Linked DNA regions of Saccharomyces cerevisiae S288C. Changing the gene in region 1 together with any one later gene gives a genetic interaction. Each region holds a gene or a part of one and is shown on either strand. Other genes may lie near its edges. The genes, in order: MEI4 and SPO13.

Region 1 (3,909 bases):
GATTTACCCTGGTGGTACAGAAGATTATGTTACATAATTCATCAATTTTTTTTATGTTAGTTCATCTTCAAAATCTGCTTTAACTGGTTATTATTAAAATATAGTAAATCTAGATCTCTCAATCTGAGTGCTTACCGACTAAAAGCGCAGAAACTGTATTCTTATTATTTTTTTTTTTTCACGGCAGCTAATTGTACTGAGTTATATTAATAGTACTGGAATAACACCAGGTAACGACTAAGGAACCAAATAAAGTATGGACTATAAGCATAATTTTGCTACAAGTCCAGATTCTTTCCTAGATGGAAGGCAGAACCCACTCTTATATACAGATTTTCTATCTTCAAACAAGGAGCTTATATACAAACAACCATCGGGTCCTGGTCTTGTGGATTCTGCCTACAATTTTCATCACCAAAACAGTTTGCATGACCGTAGCGTGCAAGAAAACCTGGGTCCAATGTTTCAACCCTTTGGCGTCGACATCAGCCATCTTCCCATTACCAACCCTCCCATTTTTCAAAGTTCTTTACCAGCGTTTGATCAGCCCGTGTACAAAAGACGCATATCTATCTCCAATGGTCAGATTAGTCAATTAGGCGAAGACTTAGAAACGGTTGAAAATCTTTACAACTGTCAGCCTCCGATCCTATCGTCTAAGGCGCAACAGAATCCCAATCCTCAACAGGTGGCAAATCCAAGCGCAGCCATATACCCAAGCTTTAGCTCGAACGAATTGCAAAACGTGCCACAACCACACGAACAAGCTACAGTCATACCCGAAGCTGCACCTCAAACAGGTAGCAAGAATATCTACGCTGCAATGACCCCGTATGATAGCAATATAAAGCTTAACATACCCGCAGTAGCAGCCACTTGTGACATTCCTTCTGCCACGCCTTCTATCCCATCTGGCGATTCCACAATGAATCAGGCTTACATCAACATGCAACTCCGATTACAAGCTCAAATGCAAACTAAGGCATGGAAAAACGCTCAATTGAATGTGCATCCATGTACTCCAGCCTCTAATTCTTCCGTTTCCTCTTCTTCTTCCTGCCAAAACATTAATGATCATAATATCGAAAATCAATCCGTCCATTCTTCAATTTCCCATGGCGTTAATCACCACACTGTTAATAATTCCTGCCAAAATGCCGAGTTGAATATTTCAAGCAGCCTTCCATACGAATCGAAATGCCCTGATGTCAATTTAACACATGCCAACTCAAAACCACAATACAAGGATGCCACTTCTGCACTGAAAAACAATATTAATAGTGAGAAAGACGTACATACCGCGCCCTTCTCCTCTATGCACACTACAGCAACCTTCCAAATAAAGCAGGAAGCTAGACCCCAAAAAATAGAGAACAATACTGCAGGCTTGAAAGACGGTGCTAAAGCTTGGAAGCGTGCAAGGCTACTAGAACGAAACAGAATTGCCGCTTCCAAGTGTCGACAGAGAAAGAAAATGTCACAATTACAACTTCAAAGGGAATTTGACCAAATAAGCAAAGAAAACACAATGATGAAGAAAAAAATTGAAAATTACGAAAAATTGGTTCAAAAAATGAAGAAAATTTCGAGGTTGCACATGCAAGAATGCACAATTAATGGTGGTAATAATAGTTATCAAAGCCTTCAAAACAAGGATAGTGATGTTAACGGGTTTCTGAAAATGATTGAAGAAATGATACGCAGCTCCAGTCTATATGATGAATAAAAGTATTGCGCATACTTCTTATGGGAGATCCAAATTCCCAGTACATTAGTTTGACTCTCCTTCCTTAATGTTTTCCTCTGTACGATTATTTATGTTTAAACGATTTATTTTACTATGTATGTATTTCCTTTCATTTTCTTTCGGAGTCATATATATTGCTGGGCGGCTAAATGTTTCCGACTTGTAAAAGAAAACATAACAAACATCTTGTAGTTGTGAAACAGTTTCATTAAATAATCTTTTAGAAGAGTAAGGACATGAGTAGAGGCAAACTGGAAGATATGGAACAAAAGGAAACATCGGAAGTTGACTGGATAATCGTACGTGAAATTGTCACATCCTTAACCTATTTTCTCTTTACTAACTTTTAGTAAGAGGTGTAATCTCCTCGAATATTATCTATGACAGTGTTTTGCTTTAATTCAATCCAGGAATCCTACGTTGTGGAAGAGGGCACTTTCAAGAAAGAAAGGAGATGTCGAAGATGTAGGTGCTCTCAAGAGTGAAAAAAATTTAAAAATAAATCCTCGGGAAAACTCAAAACATATATACAAATGGGTTGCGCCTTTCGAAAATGGATTTTTGAATAATAAATCACTGTTTGCTCATCTGGAACCTATATACAATTTCCTTTGCCAGAATAAGTACAAAAGCTTCGAAGATGCAGTTGGTTTAAAGGAGCTGCAATCATTTAGCAAAGATGTATCAACTGCTGATATAAACAACTGGTTTTTACCGAGATATAAAATTCTGCTAAAAATCCTGAGCTTAAAAACAAAAGAAATTGACTTTAGAGGGTTATCGCAAGTGTTTCAAACACTCCAAATCTTGTTAGTTTCTCATTATTCGCATCGCATAGATTCTGATTCTTCTTTTAAGAGGACACTGATAGACGTTCATGTTTTCAATTTCATCGCCAAGTTTCTGTTTAATAGAATTTTATTGAAGAAGAACCAAAACGATCCAAAATGGCTTCAAAACTTTTACGACCAGGGAGATGGCAAACATTTATGTGATAAAGTTGACTACAAGCGCTTGTGTTCGTTGCATTTTACCCTTATTTACTCTATTATTAACATTCAACTCATCAAAATCAAGACAAACCAAACATTTGAACCGCAGATATTAAAATACGTATCTGTTCTGAAATTAATTGAACACATACTTATCATCATCGAAAGTCTGATACATGTACTTATTAGATTTGTATCGAAGCATAAACTAATATGCATCAACCGGAAAAAGGCGTACTGTCGAGTATACCTCGAAAGAGAATTGAGTTTGAAGAAAACCTACTTAAAGAACTTTTACAGTGTAATAAGCGGTGTCCCAGAAAAAGAGTTAGGGGGTCTATTGAAAATACTCAAGATAGTTATTCTATCATTGCTCGAGACATTTGAAAGCATTGAATGGCAGCACTTAAAACCTTTCCTGGAAAAATTTCCGGCTCATGAAATATCGCTTCAGAAGAAAAGGAAATATATACAGGCGGCCTTATTAATTACTGCCGAAAGAAATTTGATAGCGCGCTTTCGATTGTCAAGATGGTTCAATGAGACAGAAAACATTTAATTTTTCTTTTGCAGTAGGAGGCGCATTATAAAACACAAAAATATCGAAAGCTCTTTCATTTCGGGGACAACAACTTCAGTTGAAAATTACAGTGAACACAACATCTTCCCCAACAGACCTACATTAAAACGCTTCTTCCGGACTTGCCCATGATTAACCTAATCTTATACGAACTGAATTAAACTTTACGGTATTACCGATAGGAAACTTCTATTTTATGATTTTTTCGTTCGGGGACGGAACGAACAGGAAACAAAAAAAAAGGTACGATCCATTGTATTCTCTACCCCCGTATATAAAACTAAGCTGAACAAGCCTGTTGTTTTGCTTTACTATTGCTACTATTTTTGACGTAAACGCATTGACTAATTTCAGGTTTTTATATTCTTGACACTAGCTAGACCATAGTATCGAAGGATTCAAATACACTAAAGTATCAGATAATGTTCAGCCTACAAGACGTAATAACTACAACCAAGACCACCTTGGCAGCAATGCCAAAAGGTTACTTACCAAAATGGTTACTTTTCATTTCCATTGTATCAGTCTTCAATTCTATCCAGACTTACGTTTCTGGTTTAGAATTGACACGTAAAGTCTACGAAAGAAAA
Region 2 (3,630 bases), on another chromosome or scaffold:
CATCAGAGGTGGACAAGCCGACTAAGGAGAATCAGTCGGAGGATGACGATGCCAAGGGTGGATCAACAGGAAAGGAACAACCTGGGTCTTACACGCCTAAAGAAGGCACTGCTGGGGAACGTGAGAATGAGAATGAAAGCAACGTTAAGCCTGAAAACCAATTTAAGGAAGACGAGGTTGATATGTCAGATTCGGATATAAATGGGTCTAATTCACCAAGTTTCTGCCTCTTGGATATTCAAGGCAATACCTGCACGTTATACATTTATTTATACGTTAATGGAGAAGTGAAGGTCGATAAAGTGGTTTATGAAAAGGAATAGGGTAGCCATTTTCATTTTTATGCATTTCTATGATGTCTAAACATTAGATGCATTCGTGAACTTTTTCTTGCAGACGAGATAGATGTAATTAAGATATCCTATCTGCCGGATATTACATATATAAAAAAAGAAAGCTTGCATGCACAGTTTCCTTACTATTCATGCTCACACAATTCTACCGAATTAGCACTGCAGTGTTTAGAACCGTGCTCAAAAAGAGCTAACAGAGCTTGTGAAGAAGCCTGGATGAAAATATACTACGTTTATATAGGTTGATTTAATTATACAATGATATCATTTACGCCTTGCTTAATGATATCCTCTAGTAGATCGCTTTCTAGATCGTCTTCTAGTTTTTCCTCATTCTCTTTCAAACGGCGATGGGTGAAGTTGCTTATCTGCAACTCCTCTAATTTTAAAACCTTCTTCATGGCGTATGCATCTTCACCATCCTGATAGTAGCTTTTCTCGATACTCAACACCTCAAACGCCAATGTGTCCCTGTACAAGTGTAAAGCTGCTCTATTAGATTGTCTCACATGCAAGGAAACATATTCCGCTTGATGAACTTCTCTCAACGCAAATAAAGCTTGTCTCATTAAGTTTTCGGCAATCCCCATCCTTCTATAGGTTCTCATGACACTTAAGGAAGTAATATGACCATTTGGTGGCTCGTTTTGCTGGTCGGGGTCGTCGTTCATCTTCACGAGAACGTATCCAACTAATTTTTCGCCCGGAGCCAAGTATGTTGGATCCAACTTGATTGTCCTGCCGTCATTGGTCCCATCTAAGGTCAATTCCAATTTGTCGTTCTCATCTTGTTCATCACTATCTTCACAGTCCAAAGTGGTGGTAGTAGCAACAAACGAAGCCTCTGGCCACGAGAGAATATGATACATATAATATTTCATCATATAATTTTCGGGTAGGTTATGAAGGTTGGCATTTTGCATACATATAATGTCATTGATTGTCGCTCTGCGAATATTAATAGGCATGGTTGACGAAGTTTTATTTTGGAGCTTGATCGTATGTATTTAGGTTTCCCTTTTCACTTGGCAATTACTCGTTGCTGACAAAAGGTTTCAAACTTTTCAGACGGTGCTTTTTTTTTCTGTTCAAAAAACCAATTGACGCGAGAAAGTGAGGATTGAGCCTAGAGATCAATAAAGACAAATTAGCATTGGATGCAATACTACTAAAGCAAGCGCTTTAAGAGAAAATATTTGTCCTGGAAGTCTCATGGAGATTATACTTTATGAATTCTTTATCTCCGGGCAGAAGGCACTTCAGCGTATCATTTGTTCCATGATATTTTCTGAATAAACTTCAGAATTATAATACACAGTATTTACACATCTAATTTTTGACTACAGTATAATATTCAAGCTTCTTGATTTACCTGCAGTTATGCTTAAATTCACATTTGAATTCTTTAGTATCCGTTTAGCTAGTTAGTACCTTTGCACGGAAATGTATTAATTAGGAGTATATTGAGAAATAGCCGCCGACAAAAAGGAAGTCTCATAAAAGTGTCTAACAGACAATTAGCGCAATAAGAAGAAAGAAAACGGATTGAAGTTGAGTCGAGAATAATTATGGCACCCAGAAAACGCTTTAGGCTACTCGAATTAGGGTCACCAACACATTCTAAAAGGAAAGTTCAAAAACCTCTTCAAGAGAAGACCCCAAACTTGCGAGTTTCTCCACTTGCTTTTAAAATTGGTAAAGAAATCAAGAATAAGGAAATCAGAAAAACAAAAAAAACAGAATCAGAAAATATATTCAATTCGAAACATGTCGATTTAAGACTAGAAAGCCCACATCCAGGATTAAATTTTGTAAGTGATGCTCAACAGTACTCAAAGGCTGGAGATGTTCGATATTTGAAAAATAAATCAAGCAATACCTTGAAAAACGAAAGACAAACAATAGAGCGCCCCTCATTTGATAATTCCTTAAGGTTCGAGGACATTGAGCAGCCTCCAAAATCTACTTCAACGCCGGTTCTTTCTCAATCTTCTCAAATAAATGTAGAAAGAGAAGCACCCATGTTTCCAGTTCCTTACTATATTGCTCCTTCTCCTATGTATAATTTTAGCCCGTATCAAAATTTCGTTGGAAACCCAACGTTCCTGACGCCAAGTCATAACCCAAACCTAAACTATGCCATTCCCATCCAACGGCCGGAGTTGCTTTATCCGAATGTTAACGTATACGATTCGCCATTGTTTAAGAAAACAAGACTGCCCCATCAGACCAAAAGTCTAGATAAAGAAAAAAATTACCAATATCTTCCAATATATCCGGTCTCGATTTCTAATAACGGAGATTTTGTTGGCCAAGAGACACCAAGGGCAGCACCAAAGTTAAGTAAAAAGAGACTTTCAAATACATTGGATGTTAATTGTTCCGATTATGAGTCTAGTGGACAAAATGCAACTTATAATGATAGTGAGTCTTCCCTTAATTAAAAAGATTAGTTTACTTTTTCTGTAGAATGTTAATTAGTTTATTGCATAGAAAATCTTTAATACTGAATGACAAAATTTCCACAATTTTTTTTAAAAAAATTATCGACAACTGCAGGACTCGAACCTGCGCGGGCAAAGCCCAAAAGATTTCTAATCTTTCGCCTTAACCACTCGGCCAAGTTGCCACTTATTATATAAGTCGTAAGCATAATATCAGGATCTTATGCCTTAGTATAAGTCAATTGAAATTGCAATCCTTGTATGTTTTATATTAAATTTTGGGTGAATAATTGGATAATTGTTTGAAATCCATTGTTGAAGAAAGGCTATAATATTCGTACACAGAGTATACTAGAAGTTCTTCTCGAGGGTCTTGGAATCCACAAAAAGGCGTCGATAAATCTCCATAACTATATTACTTTATCCTATTACATTATCAATTCTTGCTTTTAGCTTCTATTGTATTTGATAAAATATTTCGGCTTCTTTTATGTGTATGCGATTGCGTATTACTAAATATAAATTTATATTTCCTGCGACCATTTGTCCGTCAGAAAAGGCTCTCAAAAAAACAACACTACCCTTTTACCGGAAATCACAAACTAAATGTTAAAATAAGAATTTAACATCATCCATTGATTATGAATATTGAGTGAATGATTTAATGATTGTTGCGATTTCCTTGTTGGTGAAGGCTATGATATCAGCTATGCAGAATATACTAGTAGTTATCCACCAGAACATAAGAATCCTCAAAATGTAATTAAAAATCCACTATCGTCTATCAACCAATAATTATACTATCAATATATTATCATATACGGTGTTAGATG

The links.
Region 2: of MEI4 (region 1) and SPO13, a mutation in one rescues a mutant of the other (synthetic rescue), as found in Saccharomyces cerevisiae (2 studies listed by BioGRID).

The regions. Positions count from the first base shown.
Region 1 is NC_001137.3:237,849-241,757, reverse strand, and holds MEI4 (Mei4p), read left to right. Parts: upstream 1-1,983; coding exon 1,984-2,046; intron 2,047-2,134; coding exon 2,135-3,298; downstream 3,299-3,909. Other genes in the region: ACA1 (Aca1p), read left to right, coding at 257-1,726; ERG28 (Erg28p), read left to right, coding at 3,742-3,909. UniProt on the Saccharomyces cerevisiae protein: Required for meiotic induction of recombination, viable spore production and chromosome synapsis. Component of the MER2-MEI4-REC114 complex which seems to be required for meiotic double-strand break (DSB) formation.
Region 2 is NC_001140.6:130,126-133,755, forward strand, and holds SPO13 (Spo13p), read left to right. Parts: upstream 1-1,921; coding exon 1,922-2,797; downstream 2,798-3,630. Other genes in the region: retromer subunit VPS29, read left to right, coding at 1-323; peptide alpha-N-acetyltransferase complex A subunit ARD1, read right to left, coding at 605-1,321. UniProt on the Saccharomyces cerevisiae protein: Required for meiosis I segmentation. Probably acts as a regulator of kinetochore function during meiosis I: required both for mono-orientation of kinetochores on sister chromosomes and protection of centromeric cohesin from separase-mediated cleavage.